4 linked regions of the Lepisosteus oculatus genome follow. The protein of the gene in region 1 interacts with the protein of each later gene in a pairwise test. Links are inferred from orthologs where the notes say so. Each region holds a gene or a part of one and is shown in the gene's direction. Other genes may lie near its edges.

Region 1 (6,951 bases):
CCAAATACTCCAAAGCCTCATTCATCATCAAAGGCACTGAAAGGAGAGTGTGACAACACAGTCACTTGTTTTTCAACAGTACGGTTCTGTATAACCGAGAATGCGATAGCTGTGCATCTGACAAACTTTGTAAAAAAAAAACATTTTAAAATTATTTTTTTGTAACAGGTAAGGCAGGTAAAAAGCACTGTGAAACTCCATTTTCTAGCTGTTTCTTGTAATTCAGGGTTGCTGGGGAGCCAGAGCCTATCCCGGCAAGAAACAGGCACAAGGCAGGGTACATCCTGGAATGGATGCCAGTCCCTCGCAGGGCAGACATATACAAACACAGACACTACAAAATTACACCAGAGCCACATTTCCCAGAATTCAATTAACAAACCGGTATGTTTTTGGACTGTGGGAAATAACTGGAGGACATGGCTGAAACCCAAGTGAACATGGAGAGAACCTACAAAACTCCACACAAATAGCACCCCAGGTCTGGAACTGGATCCAGGACCCAATGCTGTGAGGCAGCAAGGTTAACCACTGTGCCAACATGTCACCTGCACTGGTAAAATTATTAATGCAATGCTGTCAAGCTTCTAAATGAATTACATCAAAATTTTTGGCATTGCTTTAAAACAAAGCAGGGTTACTTCATTGCTTCTCAGACTTATTCTGCTGTAAGGAATGTGGAGGGTGAAAATGAAGTTATTTTATATCTCAAACTACAGTGGCTGAGATACAATATATGAAATTTAACAGTGTAAGATGGTTACAGCTCTTTAAAATCTGGCAGACTTAATACTTAATTCTAAATTAAAACAGCTCAGTATCATTTAATTGACTAGAACTGCACCTTTTTCCAAACCATAGATTCAACATGTTTGCATCATTACAAAAGAAAGACAGCAATTAATCTTTAAACCTGGACAAACTACAGACACTGAAGTCTGTGCTGAAGCGTTCTTGAGGAAGAAAACTTACATCTCTGCTCTTCATTGTATGAGGGCACTATCACTGAGAGGTCTTTGGAATGGGGGTCGTGGAGACTTGGAAAAGCTTCTTTTTTCCCTTCATTAGTCAGGAAAGTTTTTTCCTTCTCGTGACGTTTCAGGTCAACAATTTTAGACGCACTAAAATGTGCTACTAATAACACCTGCAGAGGAGGAAGGAACAGTCATTCACCCACTCGTCAACCTTCCCAGTAATGTACAGTAAGAGTTACAAGGGTCATCCCATGACCGTGAAATGCACACAAATGAATACTAACAACACAGGAGAATCCTGTACGTGAAGGGTACATTGTGGGTGGAAACTTATTCTAATAATAATAATAATAAGGGACAAGTAATAGGTTTATTCCGTGCTGAAAAAAAGAAGAAAGAGAACACAACGTTTCGGCAGTGGAGCCTTCTTCAGGTGGCGGTAGAGGAACACACACACACCACACCTGAAGAAGGCTCCACGGCCAAAACGTTGTGTTCTCTTTCTTCTTTTTTTCAGCATGGAATAAACCTATTACTTGTTTCTTTGCAGCCTACGCATTTTGACGCAGCTACCCACCTGAACTACATAATAATAATAATAATAATAATAGTATCACTTTATTAACCCTTTACAATTTCTTGCATTAGGAATTGTCTGTTTGCATACCCCAGCTTGCTCTCCATGAGACACACAGACAGGGAGAGAGCCTGGGGTCAGAGCGCAGGGTCTGCCATTGTAAAGCACCCCTGGAGCAGTTGGGGTTAAGGGCCTTGCTCAGGGGCCCAATGGAGTAGGATTCCTCTGCCGGCTGTGGGATTTGAACCGGCAGCCATCCAGCCACAGGCACAGATCCTTAGCCACAGAGCCACCGCTCCGCCAGATACTACTCACTCAAATTTTCACTTTATTAATTATCTCAAACAACAACTTAAACCAAACACTAGAGAGACTCTAGCGTGGGAAAAGCTATCAATAGTGTCACCAACTCGGTATGCAGTGGAAATAAAGAAAAATCGCTTCCCACTTGTCGTGCGATGTCAATTAAAATAAGTAAATTACAGTTGTAACCTTGGTTTTCCCAAGTAAAGCAAAGCAAAAGTAAAGCAAGATCTCATTTTGAAACTTGCAACTACTGTACTTTGAGGGGGACAAGATGTTCTTATCCCGGCATTATTGAAAATTTGCAACAGCGCTGTTTTGCCTCTAAAAGGCCTTGATCAAGAAAACAAAACAAAGCCCTTGTTTGTTTCAATATTCGAAAAAGTGCTTAATAAATGTGCAACTCATGAAAGTGCACATACCAGTATAATCTGATTGTACATAAAGGGAGGGGTGCCCAACTGAAATGTGAGTTTTGTTATAGCAAGCCCCAAGTAAAAATATTCCATGGCATTTAAATTTAACAACCATTCTACAAAGCAGACTGGAAAGCTTTTGTTTCCCAGCATGTAGCAGAGAGGTGGGCAGTCCTACTCCCAGTGGCTTGGTGTGTCTGCAGGTTCTCTTTCTGATTTCAGCCTAAATCAGCTGAATTTAACAGCTCCTCCCAGATTTTCTTATGTTGGTCCTTCATTGAGATCTAGAAAACTTGCAATTACACAGGTACCCCAGAAATTCCCAATTTAGGGTACAACAATGCCCTGGTACTTGGGATCCCTGAAGAAAATACTGGTGATCAGGAGATTATAAAAAGCGTACTGTGCAATGACATTAGAGCACCTATATTAACATTTAGCCTGTAAAGAACACATTTATCTCACTGCTTTGCATCCAGAGTTACATGAAGTTAAAAAAAACCCATTTACATTAGCGCTAAAACCATGTTAAGTATAAAGCTGCTTGCTCATAGTTTGCAATTGTCCCTGGCACCTCTGTGAGACCAGGAACTGTTGAATGAATGAATCACAAGCAGGTAATTGTGTCACGGATGGCGTTTTATTTTCAGATCCAAGAGTAACACAAATAAGTCCAAATATTCCAAATACGTTAAGGGGAAAGAATACAGAATTAGCCTAAATGTTTTAACAGTTTTAATATTATTCCTTGGAGAAAGATGTGGACAACAATACTTAGACACAACCATTTTAAAACCAATAAAATGTAGTTACTGGTACTGTATAGTTCTTGTAAGTTAAATGCCACTAATGTGCAAGGAGATCAGAAACAGTGGACTGGTTTCAAATTTACTCAAGAATAGTGTGTCTTCGAGGTAACACATCAGCATACAAGTGCTGTAAATAAAAATATAATTTACCGTAAACGTAAATCGCGATAATTCATACGCATTTGTACTGCCCATGATAACATCGACTTAAAATGATATACATGTACATATCAATATCCATGCATACTTACCAAAATTAAACAAATCAGGGCTACAGCAGCAAAAGCTAGAACGATTTCACATAAACAGCAATCCATTTTCCATTCCAGGGCCTACAGAAAGACATGAACCGTATTCCCCCAAAACTAAAAATGCTAGTACATCGAACCAATCAACTATTTTTTTCCCGCAATACCATTTTTTTTACACGTAGCTACAACTGCCCTCACTGACATACACTGACGCGGAAGTGTTTCCCACTTCCCAAGTGTTAAGCACACATCATCATAATCCAAGAGGGCATCGAATACACATGGGTAAGGTAAATACGACTGCGGCCTCTACCGGTTTGGAGCTGGCTCTCATGCTAATACATTTTAAAATTCAAAACGTAAATATCGATCTGTCTCGAACATACTAACATTATACAATTATGAGTACTATAAATTGCAAAACATCAAGATGCGTCCCCCCCCCCCCACATATCACATTTACCTCATTCATCACGCGAATGATATTTTCCTCTTTTCACGTTACGTGCAGCTAATTAAAAAAGGCTTCGTTTTTTTAACCCGTATAAAGTAAAATAAAGCAAAAATATAGAAATTCAAAGTACATAAAACGCGAATCTGTTGCGAGCTAATCTTTGGTATATTCACCCCGCCCACCCGTTTCACGTGGTGCACCACGGAAGCAGCATGGCGGCAGGTTACAAGTAGGTGAATTTAAATTCCCCCATCGTATGAAAAGTTAATTTCAACCACTCAGTGGAGATGAGGAATACCATTGGATTGTTTTCAGGCACCGAACATCGTGATTTCTGATAAGATCGCTGTATTTCCACTGCTGAAACCGGGACTGTAGATAATTTACGTTTGGAACGTTATACGCATATATCGTATTAATTCATAACTAATCCGCGTTGTGAAATTATTTAACCAATTGATAAGTACAGGGAGTCGCTCCATTCGTGTCTTTAACAGGAGTTTTCCATTTATGAACCATTCATTTAATGTGGTCATTCGTAGTGTTCCAAATTCAAATGAACAGCCTGTCTATAATGTAGCATTACTGTATGTTGCTTTAATGCAAGATCGAGCCGCACACGTATGGTACATCGTTTTTACTTTCCCGGCAGATTATTTTTGCGTTGTGAAGTCTTGACAGAAGGGAAAATGTAAGAGAAAATGAGATTTGCTTCTCTTTAAAATGTAACTTCTTTCCTCTTTCAGAACTGCAGACCCTCTGGAGTACCACAGAAGCTTTTTGGTATGTTTTGGTTGTCTAACTGTATTTCGTAGTCTCAACACACAATTTACTACGTGTAGATGTAAGTTACTGTCAGGAGTAAATTGCTTCCTGTATAGGTTCATTCATACCATGACAGTAATGCCAATTTTTTAAAGCCATTATTGAAATACAGAAGTAATGATCAACGCGAATGACAATACATTGTGTACTGGTGAGACCGGAGATCTTCCGGTAAATTAATGCATTCATTTTTAAATGGTCTTAAAAGGGTTCCATGTTTTGAAGGATCACTTTGATAATTAAACATTAGCTTGAGAGACTTGCACTGGAAGTGTAATGATTGCTCACAACTGAGTTAAGCGTCAGGGTTAAGATGAAGAGTTGTCAAATGAAACAGTTTTTCTAGAAGTTCTGCGAATTTAAGTGATTTGGATTGTTCGACCCCATTAGAAAGAGAACTGCAGGCCTGACGGACGAGAGCTTGGTGAATTCCGAACCACCACATTGAACATCGGTGAGCATTCACAGTTCTTGATATACTGTAAGGCTCTGTGCCATTGAAGTTAAACGGCAAATAGTATACAGTCTCTTTGCTTTAAATTAGCATCTCTATTCAGTAACTTCTCAAACACACCAAGGTGTAAAAAAGATTTGAATCCTCTACTCATGCTGATGAGGCATTGTACCAGAATGGTCACTGACTTTAGTTTCATTACTGCTCTAAAGAAGTTGTTTTGTAGATGACTAATGTATCTTAATGCGCTTCGTTAGGTTCTGTTTCAACGGCTGATGGCTCTGCCTTAGTGAAGATAGGGAATACCACCATCATCTGTGGTATTAAAGCGGTAAGGCCAGCCACACTTCTATTACTGTACACCTGTGAGAACAATAACACAGCTGTCCATTAGTGTCCACCAAAATCTCTGTTGTTGCATGTTAGTGTTAAATACAAGTAGAGTGTTATTCTATAATATTCTTAGAGGTACACTGGTTTCCACTATTTTAAACAATGTTCATCAAGCTGACTATTCACTGATTAAAGATCCCTTGACACTTTTTGAAAAAGTATGGGGATTAACCCCAGGTGCACTGTCTAAATTCCCCTCTGGATTTGGCCTTTTTAATAGTTCCTGTTAATGTGATGGGTGAAGTGGTTAATCACTTTTCCCCTTGATCTGCTGTATTGTCAGGCCGCTGGTGCATACTGACTGCCAAGTCACCCAGGCAAGTATTTTAGTAAAGGGAATATTAATTATAGACTATTTCTCTTGGTGTGACAGAGGGATTGGAAAAGGAGAATTTGTAAGTAGGATCCATTTCACCCTGATTTTTGTCCCCACCCCTTTTCTGTTGCAGGAACTTACAGCTCCACCAGTAGATGCACCAAATAAAGGTTACATAGGTAGGGCATATATCAAGAAAATAATTTCTTATGGTGTATGGACATAGAATAACCTTCCTTCTGCAGGTGATGTGGCACAAGTAAATCTTACAGCACGCTTGTTTCGTGTTTGTTTCAGTTCCCAATGTCGATCTGCCGCCCCTCTGTTCCTCTCGGTTTCGCCCTGGTCCTCCAGGAGAACAAGCCCAGGCAGCCAGTCAGTTTATCGCAGATGTCATTGAAAGGTATTCAGCCCCAGAGCAGCATTTATACCAAAGTTACCCCGTCCTTGTTCGGCATAGCAGCAGTCCAGTAGGTTTTCTGGATCACTTTTGAATGAAGAATGTATAATGCCATGGGAAAATGTCCCACTTACCCAGACCACTTGGTTAAATGTGAGTAATTTAGACCCTTAAGAATAAAGAAAACTGAAAGTCAGTCCACAGTTTTATATTTGCTTTAAGTAATCAGAAATAGTTAATTAAGGCTGATCTTTGCCTCTGTAGGATTAGGATGGACCACACCTGATCTATAGAAATCAGCTTGAAGACACAGTCTCTTAAGACTTTTCCAGTTGTCTTGCACTGTTGAACTACTCAAAACTAAACTATTCTCCGTTTCTCAAGTTCTGTTGTCTGATCACACTTTATCTATATAAACATATTTTGGTTTCTTTATAGTTCACAGGTAATACGACGAGAAGACATTTGTATTGAGAAAGGAAAGGTGGGTTTTCTCTTGATCTCCAGCTATTAACAATGTTTTAAAAGTAATTACTTAAGACTTCTTCACACTTTTTTAAACCTCAGCTTATATTTATTATAATTTGCAGTGTATATATTTTTTTCTGTAATGTAATTTGCAGCTTTCTGTATTTTAGCTCTGCTGGGTCCTGTACTGTGACATTATGTGTCTTGACTACGATGGCAATATTCTGGATGCCTGTATTATAGCCCTGATAGCAGCTCTTAAAAATGGTATGTATAACAGTTATTTTAATGAAAAACTTAAGCAGTTTAAA
Region 2 (7,125 bases), on another chromosome or scaffold:
ACACCAGAGCCAGTTAACCCAGTGTGGGACGCAACCGGAGCACCTGGAGAACAGCCATGGGGACACGTGGGGGGACCATACAGACTCCACACAGGCACCACCCCAGGAACTGAACCCAGGGCCCCAGTGCTGCTAAACAGCAAAGCTGACCCCTGCGCCATCGTGCCGCCTGTATGGAGTACAGTCTAGAATTATAGAGTAAAGTGGAGTAAAGTGGAATTTAGCAGAGTTGTTGTGTATAGTAAGATGCAGTTTAGTGCAATGTGTATAATACAGTCCTGCGCATTATAGTACAGTAATGTTGAAACATTCAACAATCTCTCAAGCACGTGATATTGTTTAATTAAAATACTATTTCCTGAGTGGTTCGTTCATGTTTTTGACGTGCTTATTTATGTAAGCACTCAAACTGGGCTGACCTTTTCTATCCCACATATTTTGAAGCGCAAATCTCACAACAGCAGACTCTGGATTTGTGGTAATTAGCGAGGTTGAGGCTAATTGGTGACCCCTGTTGCCCCCAGACCCAAATCGTCGTGAAATCCCCACTGTGGAATATTTCAGTGTCCCAGAGAACAAAGGACCCTCAGTCCTGCAGCCACAATCCGCGGCCAGTCGCTGTGGTTTAGATCAGCCTCCCGCCACACAGACTGAGGCACTAACACCCTCTGAGGCACGTAACACCCTCTGAGGCACGTAACACACTGCACACACACTGCACATAGTCAGCACAGACAGTACTGTACACACACACTGCACACAGACAGCACAGACAGTACTGTACACACACTGCACACACACAGACAGTACTGTACACACTGCACACACACAGACAGCACAGACAGTACTGCACACATACCGCACACAGACAGACAGTACTCAGACAGAGAGGTACCAGGATAGCAGGCAGGCAGATCTACAGAAGAAAACCAACAGACCAACAGGTACAGACAGGGTCCAGGGAGCTGAACCTGGCAGAAGTACCAGACTGCGTGAGACTGATGCAGAAAATCGAACGTCTGCTGTGAGCACATGGACAGGCAGTTCCAGACCTGGGTCTTACTATTACTACTACTATTATTATTGTTCTTAGTGTTATTATCTGTGTCCTTAGCTCCTTGTGGCAGCAGTCCCAGGTACTCTGGTGTGTGAGAGCCCAGTTCCCCAGCTGGGGGGGGTCACCGGCAGATTAGCGATTAACTGGTCTTGTGAAAAGTTAATTCTCTTGTAGAGTTAAACTGGGCATTACTGACTTAAACCACTTATCAGGCAGGCGCAATTAATGGAGAGAGAGGAGAAGAGGGACTGAGGGGCACAGAGAGAGGAGAAGAGGGATTGAGGGGCACAGAGAGAGAGGAGGAGAGGGATTGAGGCACAGAGAGAGAGGAGGAGAGGGACTGAGGCACAGAGAGAGAGGGGAGAGGGACTGAGGCACAGAGAGAGAGGAGGAGAGGGATTGAGGCACAGAGAGAGAGGGGAGAGGAATTGAGGCAGAGAGAGAGAGGGGAGAGGGACTGGGGCACAGAGAGAGAGGAGGAGAGGGATTGAGGCACAGAGAGAGAGGAGGAGAGGGATTGAGGCACAGAGAGAGAGGGGAGAGGGATTGAGGCACAGAGAGCACTACAGCCCCGGTCACCCCTGAGAACCAGTGAGCAGAGCTCCCAGCACCACAAGACCCTGCTGAGCCAGAGCTGAGCCCAGAGAAGAGCCCTCAGCCAGCTGGTCCTGAAGCTCACTGACAGCAACACCCACCACACACACAGCACAACACAACACACACAGCACTGCGTCCCCCACTGGGACACACACACACTGGAATGTCTCAGGATCCTAAACAGAAAATAAACACCAGCTGAATATTTTCAATTCAATTCAATTCAATTCAAGGTGCTTTATTAGCATGAATATCTGACCAGGGTGAGAGTCAAGGAGAAACAGACCCCGCTGAAGTCCAGAGGAGGAGGATGTCCACGGTCCCGTGGGGCTGTAATGCCTCTATCCGCCCAGGCGAGGGAGCTCCCCGCCCCTGGTCAGCCGGGCGCTGCGGGGGCGGGGGCGGGGTCGGGGTCGGTCTTTCCGAACCGGACAACAATCACCGCGCTTTCAGCACCGATACCCGACCCGCTCCTCGGCGTCAGCCGCCGGCCTGCTCCGAAAGCGATCGTCAACTTACTAAACCTGTTCCCCCCCAGCCGAGCTCAAGAAAGGCAGCGGGTCGAACTCGCTCGCAAAACCGTTTCAGTGACACTGCCGACGTCTTCATCGGCCCGATCGACTGGACACACCGCCGCTACGATACCAGCGAGCAATAACAGAGCGAAATCGATATTTAGTCGCTCTTTAATTCGGACTTCCTTTCTGTTTTTGGTTGACAGTGATGGGGGTCGGGGCAGATCACGTCGCCGCCGGCATCCCGCAAAGTAGGCAGGTCACCTGGCAGCTCCGACCTGTACCCGTTCAAAAATTGCTCTCGCTTGTCGTGGCGAGGACTCGGGCGTCACCCCGGGTCGTTATTTTCCTTACTCATTAGTTTAAGGCATGCCGGGTACAGGGCGAGGAGAGGGAGCCGGCCCGGGCGCCGAGCTGCCCCGGTCAGGGTGGGAGTGAAGGAGCCGCGCTCGCCTCTCCGATATGACGCTGAGGCTAAAGGTGGAAGTCAGGATTGTGCGCTGATGTGGTGAAAGGGGATTAGAGTCTATACGCGTCTTACAACAGGTCAAAAATGTACAAAAACGACTATCCTCGCTGTTATGCAAATTTACGGTCTAGCCGCGGAGGTCTATGGGAGAAGTTGAAGGCGTTTCCCCCCGGCGTGCATGATGGTAGTTGGAGTTCTTTTTTTCCTTTTCCCAGCGGCATTACAGGAACAGATCTATGGACTCGGTCGTTAGGACTGATCTTCTTATGTGACTTAACACTGCAACAGATGAGGACGCCCGACGTTTATGAGAGCAGTCAAGCGCATTGATAAAGCAGTTCTGTGCTGTCAGAAAACACGGGTGAGAGTCGAGTCGACGAGCTCGGAACAGTGGTGAAAGGGTAAAATGTTTGTAGATGTTATACTGATTACACATGCTTTGGCAACACTGTAATTACCAGTCATGCCAATAAAGCTGTTTGAATTTGAAGACTTGAGTATTATTGGCTTTAAAATCAGTTCAAATATAAACAGCATTAAAATTATTTTACCACAAGCAGTCACTTCAGGCTGTGAATTCACATCAGTCAATGTCATTAATATATAATTATAATTCTTCTGCACACCAAACTCATAGCGCTGTACAGGTAATGGGGATCCCCTCCACCACCACCAGTGTGTACCCCACCTGGATGATGCTCCAGTCTGCTCACACACACCAGCTCTCAGTGGGGAGGAGAGTGATGAAGCCAGTTCAGAGAGGGGGGTTATTAGGAGGCAATGATTGGTAAGGGCCAGGGGGTAATTTGGCCAGGACACCAGGGTTACACCCCTACTCTTTTCGAGAGACACCCTGGGATTTTTAATGACCACAGAGAGTCAGGACCTCGATTTTACGTCTCATCTGAAGGACGGCGCCTGTTTACAGTCTAGTGTCCCCGTCACTATACTGGGGCATTAGGACCCACATGGACCGCAGGGTGAGCGCCCCCTGCTGGTCCCACTAACACCTCTTCCAGCAGCAGCCTCAGCTCTCCCAGGAGTCTCCCCTCCAGGTTCTGGCCAGGCTCACACCTGCAGATATGGCTGCTGGCAATAATAATTAATATAGGAAACAGAGCTGTGTTAATTAACCCCAGACTAAACTCCACTCAGAGCTGATCAACCTCCCCCTTAATCCACCTGATGAAGCAGTTTCTCTCTCCTCGCTGAGCTGTGTGCGCTGGGGGGTGAGGAGGTGTCTCTGAGCTGTGTGCGCTGCGGGGTGAGGAGGTGTCTCTGATCTGTGTGCAGTGGGGGGTGAGGTGTGTGAGGATCAAAGTGACTGTTTTTAACACCCATTAGGTCTGTCTGTGTTAAATATGTTGAAGTTTAACCCCAATGGCATTCAGGGATGTGGGGGTGCTGAACGCTTCGGCTCTCTCTCCGGCACTGTCCGTCCCTCCGCGGCCGCCGTAGCGCCTGGGTCCTCGCGCTGACTTCCCCCCGCCCCGCCCCCCCCTCACAGTGACAAGATGGCGGACCTCTCCCTGGACGAGCTGATACGGCTGCGAGGTCTGAACGGCAAAGGAAACGCCAGGTGAGTCCGAGCCGTGCGACGGGAAAGAGCCGCGTTTGTTGACGGGGCTCTGAGAGGGAGCCGAGAATTTGTGTTTGTTGCTGTTTTGTTTTTCTGGATATTTTCGCTTTGTTGCAAACCGTCGCGTCTCCTGTTTAACACCTCACTGGTGGGGTCCCGCCTCCCCGCTCGCGGCTGATTGGCTGGACCGCCTTGGGTTCTGTTCCCTCATTGGCTCTTCCGGCCGGGCCAGCGCCTTGATTGGCCGAGCTCGCCGTCCATCTTCTCCTTCGAGAATCGCGTCGACCAAATTCGCTTTATTAAAACAGCCCAAAACAATGAAAGTTAACCGGCTGAGCACGTCTGCTCGGTGGCAGAACAAAGAGAGGGGTACGGGGGGCTGTAGGAAGGGATAAGGGCCGATTAGCGGCGCGGGCAGAGCTGTGAATCTCTCACATGGGGATTTTATGTCCTTGTGAGACGCACATACGTGGAAATGTCCCGAACTCCACTCCCGGATGGAGAGGCGTGATCCGCTCACGGGAGGTGCCGTGGTTTCGCCTGCCGATGGTGTGTAGCGCAGGGGGGGCAGAGGTGGGGCCGAGCCAGCGGAGGGGAAAAGGACAGAGTTTGAAAGCCGGAGGAAGACCCTGTAAAGGCCGCCTGCTGCGGCAGTATGGCCGTACGCAGACGCCTCTGGTCGCCATGGTGCGGCGGCCTGCGAGACGGATGTCGGGCAGGGGTCTCCGGATCTGAGCCTCTTCCTGTCGGGACCTCAGGACTCAGTTCACGACTTCAGAGCTGTGAAAGCAGCGAGCTGCAAGCTGAGACTGGAACTACCCCCCACCAAGGCACGCTGTGCACAAAGAGTGGGGGGTGACTGGAGCACATTGGCCCGCCTGTGCTGTGGGGGCCGATCCAGGGGAAGGTTCAGGGATCAGTGAGCTCCCAGCAGCCTTGCAGATCCCAGGCAGCTCCCACCATGACAGCCCGGGCCGCCAGGCGTCAGAACAGCTTCTGCCCCAGAGCCGTGCGCCTCACGGTCCGCTCACTGTGCACAACACGCCTCTGCACTCTGCGCTGCTGTCTCGGGCGGCCATGTGCTTCTGTTCCCTGCCACATGGTTAGTCAACAAAAAACATGATATTTATGATGTCCCATTTTGCAATGTACCATTTACCTAAATCTCCCCCTGGCCTTTACCGGTCACGGCCTCCTAATAATCCCTGTCTGCGAACTGGCTCCATCCCTCTGCTCTCCTCCCCACTGAGAGCTGGGGTGTGGGGAGCGGACTGGCGCATCATCCAGGTGGGGGTGGAGGGGATCCCCACGACCTGTACAGCGCTGTGAGTGGAGTGCCCAGAAAAGCACTTGATAAGTGTAAGGAATTTTATTATCACTCTAATAATATTATTACCACCTCCCTGCTAGTGGCCTGCTGTCCCGAGAGATCAGTGCGATTGAGAGTCCCAGTGGACACGTACACACGTGCTGCGCTCGAGGGGTTTCGGTCTTCCAGAAGCCGTGGGTGTGCAGGCGTGTGTCCGGCGCTGTAGCTCAGTGTGGACAGGCAGGACAGCGCTGACCTGTGTCTCTTGCTCTCTCCCTCTCAGACCGGTGGCGCGCGGGGGGGTGCGCTCCCGGATCGGCCCCCCGGTCTCCGCCTCCGCCTCCGTGCCCCCCCTGCTGTCCCGGGGGGCCGCGGGAGCCGGGGCGGGGGTCTTCGACGCCAGGCAGAAGATCGGGGTGACGGACGCCCGCCAGAGGCTGGGAGGAGGTGAGGCAGTCGGGGCTCGAACCCGGGTTCTCCGAGCGCAGGGGAGGGGCCCCGTTGGCTGGTCCTGGCCGCGCTGACCGGCACCCGCAGTCCTGTCGGGGCGCACACAGCGCTCCTGTCTTGGGGTCTCGCCGAGCTCCTCGTCTCGGGGGAACGGTCTTGGACTGTAGCTGCTGAGGCGCCTTTAAAACTCCTCACTCCCAGCGGCTTACAAGAAAACAGTTCAAACCAGTTAACAAAGACAGGAGACTGGCACAGCTGGTGATACACTTGAGCGTATATAATACCTTTAGAAGTAGCTTCGCAAAATCACTTCAGATGGAAAGTAAAAGAACAGTCAAAGCACACAGTGACGCAGAGCTGGCACGATGCACCGAGGGACGGGCCACAGGCACCGACCCCATAACAGCAAGGCCGGTGTGGGAGGAGGAGTTTTGAGTCTGGGCTTTTCTCCGTGTCTGTCTCCCAGCCTCGGGAACGTTCCCCCTGAAAGACGCCCGCGAGAAGCTCACGCAGAAGGACGCGCGGCTCCGGATCCGGGGCGCGGTGCAGGACGCCAGGGAGATGATAAACTCGCGGAAGCAGCAGCAGCAGCACGGCCAGCCGGCCGCCGTCAGGACGGCGCAGATCCCCCCGCACCAGCAAGGGTTAAACTCCCGGGTGGGCGGGGCCCCGGCGGTGGGCGGGGTCAAGAAGGTGGTGGACGCCCGCGATAGGCTGAGCCTCAAGCGGAGCATTGCCGTGGCCACGCCCACCGTGGGGGCGGCCATGCCCACCGTGAAGATCACCAAGACGATACAGGTAGGTTATTGCCTGCGCTGGCCGTGTCCGGTGTCCGGCAGCTCTCACAGGTCACCGCAGGCCACCCACCCACTGGCACTGCTGACCACAGACGGACCGCTCCGCGGGCCTTGAACTGGGTGATTTATCAGTGGCCAGTAGATCCTGCGGGACTGGGGCTCGGTCCCCCTGTTGGGAGCGCCGAGGCGTCCCAGAGCTCCCAGACCCGTCTGGGGAGGTCACCCTGGCCTGACACTGCCCTGCACTCTGACCCCTCTCCCTCTCCTCTGGCAGCAGAGGCCCGTGGGACTGACCAGCGGCGTCCGGATCAACATGGCGACGCGATCGGTGCCGGGACCGCAGGTGCTCTCG
Region 3 (7,970 bases), on another chromosome or scaffold:
TCTTCCACTGTGTTCATCCAGCTATGACTACACTGATGCGGTACGCCAACCCAGGAGCTACTCTAGTCAGCTGAGTGATTCCAGGTAACACTTTTTGAAAATAGAAATACTTTTTGAAATGTTGTGGGACACAGTAAAAATCATCACATTTTTAACTCAGTATAACATTTATCACACTGACCTCCCTGCTTTGTGTGAAACTCAACAGACGACCTGATGTTGACCTATCCTAAGACATAGCATGTAATGCTTATGAAACTGTGATGCAGTTTGTGATATATTTAGCAAACCGTAGCTCTTTTCTTTTCAGTTACAAGACCAGCAGTGAATCCAGCCCAACGGTCTATACCAAAACATCATATGTTCAAAGCAGGTATTATTTTAATTGGATTTTTAAATCGATTCTAACTGTCATTTGCTATGTCCGACCCATCAGCTCATCAGACCAGAGCTTCTCCTGTTTTCCTTGGTGTTCAGTGGATAAGAGAGAACATGAATCCTCTCCCCTTAATAGGACACTGGTCTATGGCAGGGATGACCACCCCAGCCATGCTGGTCCCCATGTACAGTACACAGTGGGGTGGACAAGGGTACTGTAGTGTAGATCTGTAGCAGGGAGTCAAACCCACAACCTACCAGCTGTGAGATCAGAGACTTACCCACTATTGTCAACTCCTGACAGTTATAAAAGACTCATAAATTTGACTGATTGCATGATTGATTGGTTGAAATTTCAGCTATCAAAATGTGTTGGATAATGTGTCATTTAGATTGCATTTATGTCATGCAGCTCTTCATCATACATTTATTCAATGTTTTGAGATATATTTTAATGTTATAAAATAAATTAGGGTGGGCGGTTAATAATGCAATACATGTTTAGGTTAATTTAAAGCAGCGGTCATGTCATTTGTATGTTTTGTACAGATAATGATGTAGATGTCCAGAAGATTATCAGAAGCTCTAATAATTAGTTTGAAAGACAAGTGATCCATGAAAATGAATAATTAATGTTAAATTATTTAATTTAATGGACACATAATATTTTAAAATCATACAAGATTAATAAGCCACTTTTTAAAGTTACCATATTATTTAATGCGATCACTGATGCACGATAAGTAAAGATTCACATGGATCCTGTGTTCAACGAATGCTGTAGTTTGCAGCTTGCCAGTAAATACAGTATGTACCTACTGTATTTGTTTCAACAGCAGGCCGGAAGACTTCCATGATGACATGCTCTCATCAAAATCAATCAAGACAGTTTATTCTACTTCCGACAGGTTTGACTGATTTCTGTTTAACAATGCGATGAAAATACCAGTGATTTCAACTGACTTCAACTACATAATACGCCTGGGATTTCTTTATAGGAGCATCATTGACAGAGACATGTGCACCTACTGCCGGAAGCCCATTAACACTGAAGCAAAGATGATCCTGGATGATTTGCAGATATGCTGTCACGCTTCCTGCTTCAAGGTCAGGAAGAGGCGTAATGTACCTGTTCTTGGTTTCTGTTAATGTAGAGCTAGTTAAGGACTTAGAGCAGAAATGTCTAAAGATGATTTTTATATAGCATCGTGATATACTGTATGAGCTATTCATAAATATGGTACATATATACTGTATGAATCCTGGTAATATATCTTGTGAAACGAAAAGAAGATTAAAGGTTATTTCTCAGAGGTTCACATTTTTCAACATCTTTGAAGGCCTCTGCCTGTTTTCTGATGGTATTTTCACATATCCAATGGATCTACCAGTGCAGTGTCTCAGTGTTCAGATACATCATGTAGAAGAAACATTTTGCTGGCACGAGCCAAAAAAACAAGTGGAAAATAATAAGGACCATCTCATGACAGCTATTTATAAAAGGAAAAAGAAAAACGTTAAATTCCTGAAATTACCCAAATTTCTATAAACACTTAATTTAAAACTGCAGTAGGGAAAGGTCAAACCAAGGTCCCAGTCTAACATGAACATAAGGGTTGGCTGCTGTGAATAAAAAATAGCACCTGCATCCTCTTTTAAAGTATTTCAGTACTTTACCTACCAAACTGCTGAAAATGTCCTGTTTTAAGATAACAAAGAATATGCATGCTCCTGAATTTGGTGGTAACAGTTCTTACAAACGGTGACATTGGGTCTCAAAAGCAATACACACAGGTTGATGCTTTCGATGGTGAATACTGTACCGGCTTGGAAGATTTTAACGTTTTTTAGAGAAAAAAAAATCAAATAGATCTCTATAGTAGAGTATCATATTCCAAACTTCAAGGTTTAATTCCGTACTTTTCACTTTCTTCTAGTGTGAAGTCTGCAACAGCTCACTGGGGCACTTGAAGGCGGGAGACAGCATGTGGATTTACAGACGCACTGTGCACTGTGAGAGCTGCTTTGGAATGACTAGAGGTAATCCCCAACATCTACAGCATGAGTGAATGCAGGTTGCACTGGGAGAGCATTAGGGCTGTTATCACTCAGGTTTTGGGAATCAAGTAACTTTGTAGTAGCGGCTACTGTGTGGCAGATCACTTTTGTGCTGAACTGGCTATGTAACTTTTTCAGAATTACTTCTGCTGCAGCAGTGACTGAACATTTTTAACCCAGTGTCCTCTGTGTCTCTGCATGTTTAGTAATTAAAAAAAAGACAGAGGATTACAAATCCTCTGTTAAATCTTTTAAATCAGTTTCTGGTTTATTAGTTGTGTAAGCCCAAACCCTGTGATTTTTTTTACCCTGGTTCCTTGAATTGGACTCTCACGGTTTTAGGTGTCCAACATGTCTAACTATACACAGTCCTCTATATCGGTGGTTCTTACCTTTCACTGCAACCTGCACTCTTTTGGTTCCCAAAATCTGCTCTCACACACCTTATCAAAAGTCATGGAGGTACTTTGTGTTTTTGATCATTTACTGCATCTCTTTAAGAATCTGGCATGTGTTGCACACCCAGAAAGATGATCTCAGACCTGGGGGTCCCAGATAAAGAACAGTGCTCTATAATACTGTACTAGTATTGAAAATTAGGCAATACATCTTGAATCCCTAACATGATTGCACCATTAGAATGATTTCAAACGTCATTTTAGAAACAATGATAATTGCTTGCCTGGCTTTAAGTCAAAATGCTGTGGTGGCCAACAAAATAACGAAGGTTGAGATTTATCCCCATCATCAGTTGCAGTACTACAGCACATGAGACTTAAAGGCATCTGTTCTTCTGAGTGAGTGTAAGGTCTAATCATTAAGGAAGGGGGTTTCTTTCATCTGCGTTACTGAAAGATGCCAGGTGACAGTTATAGCAGGTATACAGCTAACATAATATTAATGCTGCTCATATCCTTGTTTCTTTTTTACTCGAAAGGAAATCACTTGCAAGAATTCATAAACATCTAGTAACCTATCACTGTTTTACATCTTAGCACCTTTATAATGTCTGATTTCATATTTTAAAGTGATAAATGTTTTGTAGATTGGTATATCTGTGGTTGTATAGCTGTAAAGAATATGCAGTACTGTCCATAGTGACAGTAGCCTCTTTGTATTGGTGAAGTGGCAGTGCTCTAATGCCATTGATGCATAGTTAGTGTTGTTTGTTTTTTTTTAGAAAAGTGGCGTCGCTGAACAAGATGTAAAAGAAGATGCAAAATGACAAGATATCCTGAAGCCACAAAATGTCTGCAAATATTAAATATCTAAAATTATAAATCAAATATTTGTAAGTTGGTCCACAACCTTTAAAATTGTACAAAATAACCCCACAATGTGTGTATCTTGAAAAGGAATTCCTTGGTGTTTTGAATCATGTACTGTAATGTACCTAAGCATTTCTCTTAGCCTTCAGAGCTCATTAGGGTTGGGTTTTTTTTGGTTTCATTTTAGAATGTTTATTTTTTTAATTCTGGAAAAATGGTTTCCCCTAACGAGTTCTGAAGCCAAGAAGAAATTAAAATTATATTCATACATTTCTAACTGTCTCCTAATTATGGGTTGTGGGTCCATTTTTCCCTATAACCATGTTACAGTAAATGATAACAAATACCTACTAAGACATCTTTGAATCATTAAGAGATTTGTACTTTAATATAAATGGGGCAAGACAGATGATAGGTGGAAGGGAACTATTAACCTTTGTGTTTACTGATTTTAGATGGCTATCCCTCACATTTAATGCACTTTGATTACTTACTCTTAAAAAGCATATCCAATTGGTAACATATTAATAGTATGGTTTATCTTTTAAGTCAAATAGAAGCTAAAGCCTTTCTGAAACAACTGACTAAAAAGTCAATAAAGAACTTTGTGGAAAAACTCTCAAATTATTGTATTAATTCTGTAATGTGAATATATTAATATTGGTTAATGTTGGTGGTTGAAAAGACAGAAAGGGGGAGGATTGATTTGAAGTTTATATCAATCCATGTCAGTCCAAATGTTTTAGTTTGATATGGAAATGAGTCAATAACATTTGCACCGTGATCAAATGACTAATTCAAATTACTCAACCCTAGAATGCGTCCATCATTGCCCATTAGCTTTCGAGGATTTGAGTCTATTCAGCTACTAGGTATCAGCTGCAGCCCAAATAAAACGAGGCAGAATGCCGCACCAGATCTATAAAAAACCCAGCTCGTGTAGAGCGAAAATGTTAAATACCCTGACGCTTATCTAGCGTCAGTACCATTGTGGAGTACCTCACCTCACAACACTACTTATGTAATTACTAAAAAAAAAAAGCGTATGTTGTTTTTTTTACACATTTGCCGTATTATCAACAAGGAGTATGATTAACATTTCCGTAGACCCCTGGGTCAACTGGGCACACTGCCGTTGTGTGGAAACTTCAAACCGACGTAGACCAGTTTCTTACAATACACGAGGATTATCCCTGAGACGACCTAGATACCGGCTGAGATCTATAATTGAGACGTCGGACAAAACCATTTAAGGCTATTTATACTCATCTGACGCCAAGAAAGCTTTAACAGTGAAGACAGCCTGAGGAGCAGACGTTTATCCTCGCTAGCTCCATAAGCAGAAGTGCACAAGACTGCATCACAGGTGCACTAACTTCAGATTGTAGCTTTCGTGGGGAGAAAAGTTTTCCAGCTATAAATAACCTCCTTCATATACAGTAGGTATGTAGGTTACAAAAACGCAACAGCATGTGACGATACAGGAGTGGACTCTCATTTAAAACACACACACACACAGCAGTGTAATGAACTGAGTCTAGAACACTATTACATTTGGTTACAGATTTGCACTGGCCGCACCTGAACCCTATTTGAGCCTGTGCAGGTCCGCTGGATTCATCATTCCGAAGCCGGTCTTGGCATTGTGGGAGGAGACAGCGTCTTTATTTTTCGCTGGGGGTGGCTGGCGTAGCATCTTAATGCAACAGTAGAATGGGAGCACTGCTCAATTGGTTCAGCGTAATGCACAAATCTCAGTGAAGGCAAGGGAAAAAAGCAGGGAGACGCAACCCCGGTCCACCATTTTTTTACAGGAGTGATTTATATATAGCTACATAATACTTATGTGTATTTTTTTAATTCAATGGAAGCCGCTGTGCTAAAACCCCAAATGATGGCGGACGTTAATTGCAAGAATAAAGCTGTAAATGCGGAGCTGGAGGTGAAAAAGCTGCAGGAACTGGTACGAAAACTGGAGATGCAAAATGAGCAGCTAAGGACCAGGGCAAACGCCGTAAGTAGTTGTACTGTCAGCCCGCATATCCTGCAGTCTTCCCCGGCCTGTCTGCTCGGGAGCCCTGTGGGAGCTGGGGGAGTCGTCAGCCCGGTATTTACGGGGAGTTACTGTATTCCGAGCCCGGTACCGACGCTCCTGTGTCCGTCAGCAATCGGTTCTTACTGCCCTTCGGAGGAACAGTACTTGTATTTCAACCCGCATTCTCCAGCTGCTGCTGTGGCACAGGACGATTGCAACAACAGCACAGAGCCCACAATTCTGGATGAGGTGGAAGTACTGGACCTCGATGCCGTATTCTGCAGCGATGAGGAGAATGATTACACCTGGTACTGTAGATTTAAATTACTCCCATGTTGGCGCTCGGTTGACGTTTTGTTCGTTACCACTGTTTTTTGGACTGACTGGTCATTGATCTGTTGCACAAGCCCCTTTCAAAAATATCCGTACAACCTCAATGCAGCCCACTGGGTTTAGTATAAATGTAATGAAATATTATTTATAGGCGCAAAAGATGCATTTTGTGGTGAAAGCTTATTGGAATTGAGGGAGTTAAACATTTTCTAGGTTTCAAATGTATCATACTATATTTGAATGAACAACATTTGACAACTGCAGAAGGCCTTCAAGGTACACACTTGGTACTATGCGGTGGCGAATTGATTTAGAAAAAGGAAGAATGTTACAATGATCCTTTTTGACTTTTGTATGATGTGACATCTTGATTGGGGCGTGCAGTCATTTTCTAAAACGCTTATGAAATGGGTTTCCCATTTTACTGAAATGCTAAGTATTCATCTTCGTTAATTTCTGTAGTTCTGGTATTTCTGTTTGAGTTCTTTTTTCCCCCAACCTTAAAGTTGAAAGGACTATGCTGGTGCCAGACATCCCGTTGCAGTAATGCTTTGTAAGCTGTAGCTGAATGTATCCAGTGTTCTGGAACATTTAGCACAGTTTTTACAGCAGCAGCAGCGCTAGGAATATGTCTTATTGTAAGAGAACTCAGTGGCATCCTAGTCTTAAAGCAATACTTCTGGTTGGTTTCTTTAAAGTTCTCAAGAGTTAGGCCTAGATTGTATTGACTTGCTTGATGTTTATTTTCATTTGATCTCCTGAAATCTGTGTCCTCTGCTTTGTTACATTCCCCATGATTAACTGAAATAATTCATAGAACTGTTACTACTTTGGCTTCTGCAATAATTCTGCTCATCTAGCCTGTTTGATAGTAGCCAAATCGTTCAAGGATGTCATCCAGCTGTTTCTTGAGAGAAGCCAGGTTATCCAATTCAACAACATAGCTGGGTAGGTTGTCCTATACTCCTACCATCTTTTACCAGAGACAGTGCCTTCCATTCTTGGTTTTAAATGCACTTCTGTGTAGTTCCACTGCTGTGTCCTCTAGTTTAGATTTCACTGCATTTCTGAACATCCCCTATGCTGACTGTTACAGTCCTTGAAGATTTTGAATACTTTTATCAAGTCCCATAGCGGTCTTCACTGTTCAGGACTGAAAAGGTTTGGCTGTTTTAACTAGCTGATGTAGGACATTACTCAAAGTCCCACAAAGCACCTGGTCATTTTGTACTGGTTCCTTTAGAGCAGGTACAGTAAGGAAATAGGCCAGGACATGCTGAAGTTTCACCCAGACCTTTGTTTACACTTACTTTGCCTCCACACTTGAGCTTTGCGGAAGCTTTGTTTGCTTAACTGAACATCTTATCCAGGGAAAAACAGATTAAATGAAAACTTACTGTAAATGCAAGCAACTTTCATGCACGTACAAGATAAGTAAAATAACTGCATGAGATGGAAGCACAATGTATGTGCTGCACTAAGAAAAATAGAATTAAAGCTGTATGAAGATGGATAGGATATCAAACAGTGATTCAGCCAGCCTGATAGTACACCCTTTGAATGACTACATGAAATGACAGCAATTAATTTGAGCAGACATCACCTCAGCCTTACAGCACTCCATCTTGACTTTCAAGAGGAAACCTTCTTCAGGAGTTATTCCATGAGCTGTTGTTTTAATAATAATAATAATAATAATAATAATTGCTTACACTTATATAGCGCTTTTTTGGACACTCCACTCAAAGCGCTTTACAGGTAATGGGGACTCCCTTCCACCACCACCAATGTGCAGCCCCACCTGGATGATGCGATGGTTGCCATAGTGCGCCAGAACGCTCACCACACATCAGCTATTAGTGGGGAGGAGACCAGAGTAATGAAGCCAATTCATAGAT
Region 4 (7,139 bases), on another chromosome or scaffold:
ATCCCTGTATTCTTAGAGGGGTTAATCCTGCTGGTGTGGAACACTGGACAGATGAAGCTGCAGTATTCTTCCAGGCATGCATGTCTGCGAGAAATCTTGTGATTTATTTTAGACAGTGTGTGTTTGAAAATCTGTGGGAAGTAGATATCCTGTCAAATGGTGTGAATATAGCTAAGGAATTGGTTGAAGCTGGACATGCCGCTTACATTGACTGTATCCTTGGACTCAGATTGCAGCAGGAGATATGTCCTGAGTCTGCTTTGGATGCTTCACCAAAGACATCTAGCTTAATATGTGGAAGCGTCAGGCACTCACTTTCGCTTACACAAAAGAAAAGCAACAATGTATACCCCAAACTAGAGAGCTACGGCAGAGCTGATGACTCCGAGCAGCCTAGAATTCAACTTCAGCCAAGACGCTTTCAAGATCCGCAGTCAAGAGAGAGGGAGAAGCTCACCGAAGTGATGCCATTGTCCAAGCAGGGTAAGTGTTTTACATATGACTTCGGTATATTTAAACAGTGTGTTAAGGTTTGGGAATTAGCAATATAGATGCTATGAATCGTATATATCGGTGCATTGATTCCTAAGTCAGTTTTGTCCCGGTTTCAGTGGGGGAAAAGCAAATTGTTGTGACAACTCATTATCTTTGTTTCTTAAACATTTAAGAATTTACTTCACTCATCCTTTGTTAAATGAGCACTTTACTTACGAGTAGTTACTAAAATGAGAGATGCATAGGTCTATATTTTTTTAGTTAACTTCCTAAGCTGTTTAGCTCATCTTCCATTTTTAATTTTCTCCTCTGAGCTGTTGATGTCTTAACTATACTAAATTCACAATATTGATATCACCAGGTAGCTTGTTGCCTGTACTTTTACAGTAATGGGTTTTATTATTTGGTTGCACTACATTTTATTAATATGACAATTTTTGTATAGTGAGAAATCGGTTAGTTTATCATTTATTGTTCATGTGTACTATAGAATGATGCCATTTTTTAATTCTTTCAATAACTGCTGCATAATGTATTTAAACATAACAGCTTGCATAAAAAAGAAGTGATGGTAAATTGTTATTAATTTGGCTGACACTATAATTTAAAGTTACTTTGTATGTTGGTGTCAATTGATATGACCACAATATCATAGTACATAGTATCTAGATTTCTAGTTTAAGTAAATAATATTAAATAGTATATTTCTATGCCTTTTTTTGCAGCTGAAGTGATGTGGATTCTAGGATGCAGAAATGAAGATCTGGGAGATTATTACAAGACAATCGGCTACTAAAAGTTTCATTTCTAACCTCACTAGTTTGGGTTGGCAGTGTAAATGAATTGCTGAACGTTTGCTCAATATTTATGACATGTTTGTGATTTTAGGAATTGCCTAAAGTTTTTGTTTTAAGGTGTGTACTTTGACAATGAAAACCTGCATTCGTCTTATTCTGATGTGTGATATGGTCAAGGCATAGATACTTTGTCCACTACTGTGGAAACTTCTTTAGATAGTAGAACAGACAACTATTTCTTACAAATGTATTTGTATAAGTTGTATCATTTTATATAGTTGATGTCCAAGCTTTGTAATTATTTCATCACAGATTAAATGTAATGGTGATTTCTTTCCACTTAAGTATTTTACATGGGGAAAAATGCATATATTTTGCCTTAAAATCATCCCTTATTTGCCAAAAACACTGGAAATGTGTCCAAAAAATGTTTTCTGATGGTGGGAAATACCCACTTCCTTAATCTCATAATTTAATGACATCTTGAAATGGCAGGTTGTGTTCAGACGTTTCCTCCTGCTCTATTCACAATGTGCTTTAAATAAGAATAGATTAAGTAGGACTTCTACAGTGCAAAGTGTAGACTAAAAGTGTAAAGATTGAGTACTAATTATTATTTTCAATTTTCAGTATTTCAGATCTTGGTTTGCATCTTAATATACTCAAAAATCATATGTAGTCTTCATCTCCAGCTATGAAGGTTTCAGTCTTTCATAGATTTTATAGATTATATTTATGATTTCCTTTTAGATAAGTGTTGCCATATTGTTCTAGTTCTTGTACTGAAAAATGTACTTGGTAATGTTTTGGTTTTGTGCCAAGAATCTTTGATGTGCATTATGAGCTTTGAATGAAAATTTCAATCAAAAAGTTGAATACAAGTTATTTTGATTTTTGAATTATAGAATATTCTCTTGGTTGATTTAATTAATACTGTGCCTTTGACTTGTTACAGCTGTAAAACCTTTTTCAAAACTATGTGGTCTGAGTGTGACTATTGATCTTTATGTGACATTTACTGGTCTTCATTACAGACATGAATTTTTTAGAATTATACTATAAACTTTGAAACATTTAAATCAAGGTATATATTAAGCAATGCATGTACCTTTTATCCAATAAAATATGTTAATGTAGGAATAACATACACTCTTCAACGCCCTGAATTGCTGAATTTATATTATTTTTAATTGGTCACAGATGTGGATCACATTTGCTTTTTTGTTCTTTCACCTCCCTGCCCTCCCCATCGTGAACTAACATTTTCTAGTAATTATTTGTCAAACCTTGAATAGACCACATACCTCAGTACTGGGATGTGTACTTCATTAATGCGTGAATAAGTAAATAACTTGAACTAATTATAGATGCATCTGTTATGAGGAATATCCTTATAGTGGTGTGTAAGCAAGGTGTAATGTTATGTTAACCAGTTTAAAGTTCCTGCTCTTAGTTACTTAGTTCACAGTTGGTGTGTTCACTAGGACTGGGTTAGAAGTTAGGGGTGATTCAGCTCCAGTCCTTAACTGGATAGGCTGTATGCTGGTAATGCAGAACATTTCAGTTGTGTCTGTGACTGTTTTTGTTTATACCGTGCATAAATGTTTTGTTTAACACCTCATTTGAATAAAAATAAATTTAACTGGCTGTTTTAGCCTTTCATTATAATTAGTTTTGATCTGGGTCCTAAAACTCTTTCTATATGTTTGTATATACAGTATGGGAACTTTACTGTGCAGAATCAGTTTGACCTTGTTCTTTTTGTTGGGTTAAAAAAAATGCTTTTAACTCTACTTATGGAAGTTGAGTTGTTGCTTAGATTTACTGTTTTTTGGAATTCTTCAAACCCTAATAAATATGTACATTAATGATTTAATGATTTCTCTTTGTTTAAAAAATCAAACAAAACATCTAACCTTGTCTGGAGACTGAATTCACACAGGTGAATGAGACCCAAGAATTTCTTTTAAAACATAGATGTAATTCTGATCACGAACAAACCATAACACAATATTTAAAGAGATATGAATATGCATTTTCCAAACATCCCTTCAAAGGTTTCCAGTACCTTTCTATGCCATTCTAAATGGCATACTTCTTACAGATTTCTTGAGTTGGACATTACGTTTAGAAAAATCTCTGGATAATAAAGTTTCAAAGAAGTGACTCTTTGCAATGTTCGCTTACTTCCTGAAATGTAATGTTATATGTATTTTGGGAATGTATAACTAAGAAACATTTTTAAGTTTTTTTTTTTCCTGCTACAGGACTGAATGCTCTATATGGGTCATGTGAGTTGCTATTGCATAGTATTTTCTGATAGTTACATACATTCTTATATACAAATTTAGGGAGATGTTTTGTGGTATAGGGGCAGGGGATCATTTTAATATACAAACTGTTATGTTATTTGTGCTGCATGATGTTTTGCAGAGGATGTCATAAAGAAATAAAAATTACACCAGTTGGATGAGAAATGTTGAATGAAATTGCCATGGTAATATTCTTAGGAGTAATGAGTCTCCTATCTTAGATTGTTCATAAGTGTGTATTAATAGAGTTATTTTTATATAATTCTAGAATGGAATATTTTGAATGCACTAGAAAAAAATATTTATTGTATATGTAATTAAGTGTTTTTATTGTTGCATGGCGATAAAAGAAGCTTGTCAGAAGTGGGATTCGAACCCACGCCTCCAGGGGAGACTGCGACCTGAACGCAGCGCCTTAGACCGCTCGGCCATCCTGACGTTGAGCGAACAGTGCTCAGTGTCCCTCTGCACACTATCTTTTTTCACGTTTAGTTTCATTCGTGCACCAACGAAAAAGGTGACAATTAATCTGTGAATGATCCGCGAGCTTTTGTTTTTTAAAAGGATGTAAAAACCGGAGCCGTGTTCTCTCTGTGTGTGTGTGGAGGACGCAGCCATTGGTGGAGATGCTGGTCCCTGATAGGTCTTCCTGAGCGTCACTCGGGCGAACACGTTCCGGGGTTCTGCCGGGTCCTCATAGGAGATTGAAGTCCAGCTTCGTATGAGCCTTTCTTCTCCGCGGTGTAGAGGTTTGTTGAATGGCGTTTTTCGTATTTTGTGCTTTTCTATTTAAATTAGCTGACTACATTCTACAGAAACTTAAAGCTCTTGTTTTCGATACAATTCAGTATATTTATGGCGGTGTCTCTAAAGCAATGCACCAATAAAACTCAGGAAAACTAACTTCTGCTTCGGGTCATGTCTGTGTTTTGCTCAAGATGTTTCAGTCATATTAAAATCTCACTAGGCTGTATCGCTTGTATATGATCACGGAAACGACCGCCAAAGCGAAACAAAATTTAAAAAGAGCGTTTTCGGTGTGTAAATGTTTTTATGATCTCTGAGTTTAAAATGTCGTTCGAATTGTGAACGGATTTTATATATTGAATTAAAAACTCGTAACAGCAGCACGAGCAACACTACGCTAGACGTTCTTAACATTGTTGATGTATAATTAAATTAGCACTTTCTAGTAAAAGTACTAATTCAGCATCTCTTCCATGATATTGGGTATTAAGGAACAAGTAGTTCATATAATGCACGTTGGTGGTAGTTATGTTTGGTGCGGGATTACTTAAAGTGGTGGTCGTTAAATATTTAAGCTGAAGCATATTTGAAGTTAGATTCGAGGTATAACATTTCCAAATACAGGCGTAAAGTAGCTGGCTAGTTCGTTGAAAATAGCGAGTCGGCAAACATCTGATCAAATTGATTCAAATAGTACTGTGCCGGTTTGCTGTAAGAAAAAAAACTGCCGAAATTTTGGTTAAGAACTTGGCTGGATTTGAATGTCAGCTTTTCCTCGCCCGCCCCTCTCTGAACAGCTGAAGGAAGTCACATGGCATGGGGGTCTTTAGACAGATCCAGAAGTTGCCATCTGCTCATTGTAAGGGGATTCTCTAATTTAAGACTGAAGGTGCAAAATAAATAGAAATGAAAAACAAAGCTTTCGGGAAGCAACGGATTTTTATTGTAACTAATAAATTAGACCAGTATCCAATTTGAGAAAAGTACATATTTTATTGATATTATTTTATGTATAGTACAAGAAAGACCCCTGTTAACTCTATGTAAAGCTAACAGTACAGTTTCACTCAATTCTTGGAAGCAGCAAGTATACTGGAGCAAAACATCACAGAACATGATCATGAAAAAAGCCTTGTAAAAATATTTTGAATTTTTGGGGGTTCTGGGTGTGTTCTTGACTGTCTAGCTTCATAATGGGTGAGTCATAACTAGGGATTAAACTGAAGAGTGCTTCATTGTGCAAGAATAATGTTTTCCAAAAAGCAGTCTCTTGGAAAAGTCTGTGTAGATGATAAAGACGTTATACGACAGTGTAACTGGAAATTTCTGATCTTAGTCAATATGATACTGGTTCCTCTATAGAATCTGTTTTTTTGTTGTTTCTACACAATTGTACAATGAAGCATTAGAACATTCTCTTCTGTTGAATTGGAGACATGAATGTATGAGACAGGAAAATCATGGTTGCTGCTGTTGATTTTTCAGGCTGCTGTAGTCATGGCTTCTCTAACTCCACCTAACTTTTCCTGGGTTGAGCCAAAGAAGCTGGCTGGGATGGCCCTACCGCGGATGCCTGCCCACTATCAGTTCCTGCTGGACAACGGCATAAAGCACCTGGTGACTCTGTGTGAAAGAAAGCCTCCTTATCATGATTCATGCCCGGGACTGACGCTGCACCACATAAAAATAGATGACTTCTGTCCACCCAGTATGGATCAGATCAAGAGGTTCCTTGCTATTGTTGAAGAGGCCAACGCCAAGGGTGAAGTATGTACCCAGAGATATGGCATACATTTTTTTATGGGCCCATATAAGAGCAGATAAAATGTTTCAACAAATACCACAATGTGAAACATGGTGTTTCCTGACAAGTTATTTTACCTTTGTACAAGCTGTAAGTGGAATTAAGTTATCATACACGGAGAAAGCACATTTAGAATACCTTCAAAGCACAAATTGGTTCCTGATTGTGTTACGATTCTTGTCACACCATCGTGTCTGTAAGCTACTGCACTGCTGAATGAGCTAGATGGGTCTAATGGCCTTCTCTTGTATGCAGCCTTTGTAGTCACTATATAAACTATATGTATTTATTTTTTAGAGAAGAGGTGTTAATTTGACATTTGGCAATAATTGTAAGCAAAACAATGTACTAATTTGTCTGTTAAACATGTGCAGTAAGCACCAAAGCTTAAGCTAAAAAGTTTTAGAACCATGGTTTCCCTGTTAGCAAAATGCTGAGTTCATAATAAACGAATTAGGCATTTTCTCCACAGGGTAATTCACTAATTCATTTAGTGTTACACAATTTGTAAATGGTATCTTACTTTTTTAAGGGTGTGGCTGTCCATTGCCTTCTCGGACATGGGAGAACAGGAACAATGCTGGCCTGCTACCTGGTGAAGAAGAGGAAAATCACTGGGGTTGACGCGATTGCAGAAATAAGAAGCATTCGTCGAGGATCAATAGAAACGTATGAACAAGAAAAGGCTGTTGTCCAGTTTCATCACCACATAAAGTAAAATTAAGACAGCTGCAGCTGAAAATGTTTATATTAACTTCATGCGCTGTACATACTATATGAATGATTGGAAAAGAGTTTTATTTAAGAGTTTATTTTGGAAGTTACTAATTATGTTTTTTTTTCTACATAACCCCTGAAGTCTTGCAAGCAAGATGTTTTAAGTGCCAGATACGAGGTGAGATAGAACTAAAAAATTGGTGTCATCCTGAAAGCTGCAGAAACACTGAAAGGTTTTACAACTCGGACACAACCTGCAGCTGTGTG

Evidence for each region.
Region 2: the proteins of exosc8 (region 1) and poldip3 interact in a two-hybrid assay, tested with the Homo sapiens proteins (2 studies listed by BioGRID). The link is inferred for Lepisosteus oculatus from reciprocal best matches to the Homo sapiens genes EXOSC8 and POLDIP3.
Region 3: the proteins of exosc8 (region 1) and slain1a interact in binary tests that used the Homo sapiens proteins (3 or more experiments, as listed by UniProt). The link is inferred for Lepisosteus oculatus from reciprocal best matches to the Homo sapiens genes EXOSC8 and SLAIN1.
Region 4: the proteins of exosc8 (region 1) and dusp23b interact in binary tests that used the Homo sapiens proteins (3 or more experiments, as listed by UniProt). The two-hybrid records come from large-scale screens. The link is inferred for Lepisosteus oculatus from reciprocal best matches to the Homo sapiens genes EXOSC8 and DUSP23.

The regions. Positions count from the first base shown.
Region 1 is NC_090700.1:15,732,015-15,738,965, forward strand, and holds the start of exosc8 (exosome complex component RRP43), read left to right. Parts: upstream 1-3,947; 5' UTR 3,948-3,996; coding exon 3,997-4,013; intron 4,014-4,530; coding exon 4,531-4,567; intron 4,568-4,999; coding exon 5,000-5,063; intron 5,064-5,320; coding exon 5,321-5,394; intron 5,395-5,905; coding exon 5,906-5,951; intron 5,952-6,069; coding exon 6,070-6,175; intron 6,176-6,610; coding exon 6,611-6,656; intron 6,657-6,810; coding exon 6,811-6,907; intron 6,908-6,951. Other genes in the region: alg5 (dolichyl-phosphate beta-glucosyltransferase), read right to left, coding at 1-36, 973-1,144, 3,331-3,396. UniProt on the Homo sapiens protein: Non-catalytic component of the RNA exosome complex which has 3'->5' exoribonuclease activity and participates in a multitude of cellular RNA processing and degradation events.
Region 2 is NC_090707.1:39,126,565-39,133,689, forward strand, and holds the start of poldip3 (polymerase delta-interacting protein 3), read left to right. Parts: upstream 1-4,106; 5' UTR 4,107-4,152; coding exon 4,153-4,217; intron 4,218-5,809; coding exon 5,810-5,973; intron 5,974-6,442; coding exon 6,443-6,774; intron 6,775-7,047; coding exon 7,048-7,125. UniProt on the Homo sapiens protein: Is involved in regulation of translation. Is preferentially associated with CBC-bound spliced mRNA-protein complexes during the pioneer round of mRNA translation. Contributes to enhanced translational efficiency of spliced over nonspliced mRNAs.
Region 3 is NC_090710.1:17,006,359-17,014,328, reverse strand, and holds the start of slain1a (SLAIN motif-containing protein 1a), read left to right. Parts: upstream 1-4,950; 5' UTR 4,951-5,568; coding exon 5,569-6,047; intron 6,048-7,970. Other genes in the region: scel (sciellin), read left to right, coding at 22-84, 311-373, 1,215-1,286, 1,377-1,485, 2,316-2,418, 3,617-3,633. UniProt on the Homo sapiens protein: Microtubule plus-end tracking protein that might be involved in the regulation of cytoplasmic microtubule dynamics, microtubule organization and microtubule elongation.
Region 4 is NC_090697.1:25,229,732-25,236,870, reverse strand, and holds the start of dusp23b (dual specificity protein phosphatase 23), read left to right. Parts: upstream 1-4,123; 5' UTR 4,124-4,353; intron 4,354-5,836; 5' UTR 5,837-5,848; coding exon 5,849-6,118; intron 6,119-6,687; coding exon 6,688-6,873; 3' UTR 6,874-7,014; coding exon of another isoform or gene 7,015-7,036; 3' UTR 7,037-7,139. Other genes in the region: tdrd15 (tudor domain-containing protein 15), read left to right, coding at 1-483, 1,221-1,291. UniProt on the Homo sapiens protein: Protein phosphatase that mediates dephosphorylation of proteins phosphorylated on Tyr and Ser/Thr residues. In vitro, it can dephosphorylate p44-ERK1 (MAPK3) but not p54 SAPK-beta (MAPK10) in vitro. Able to enhance activation of JNK and p38 (MAPK14).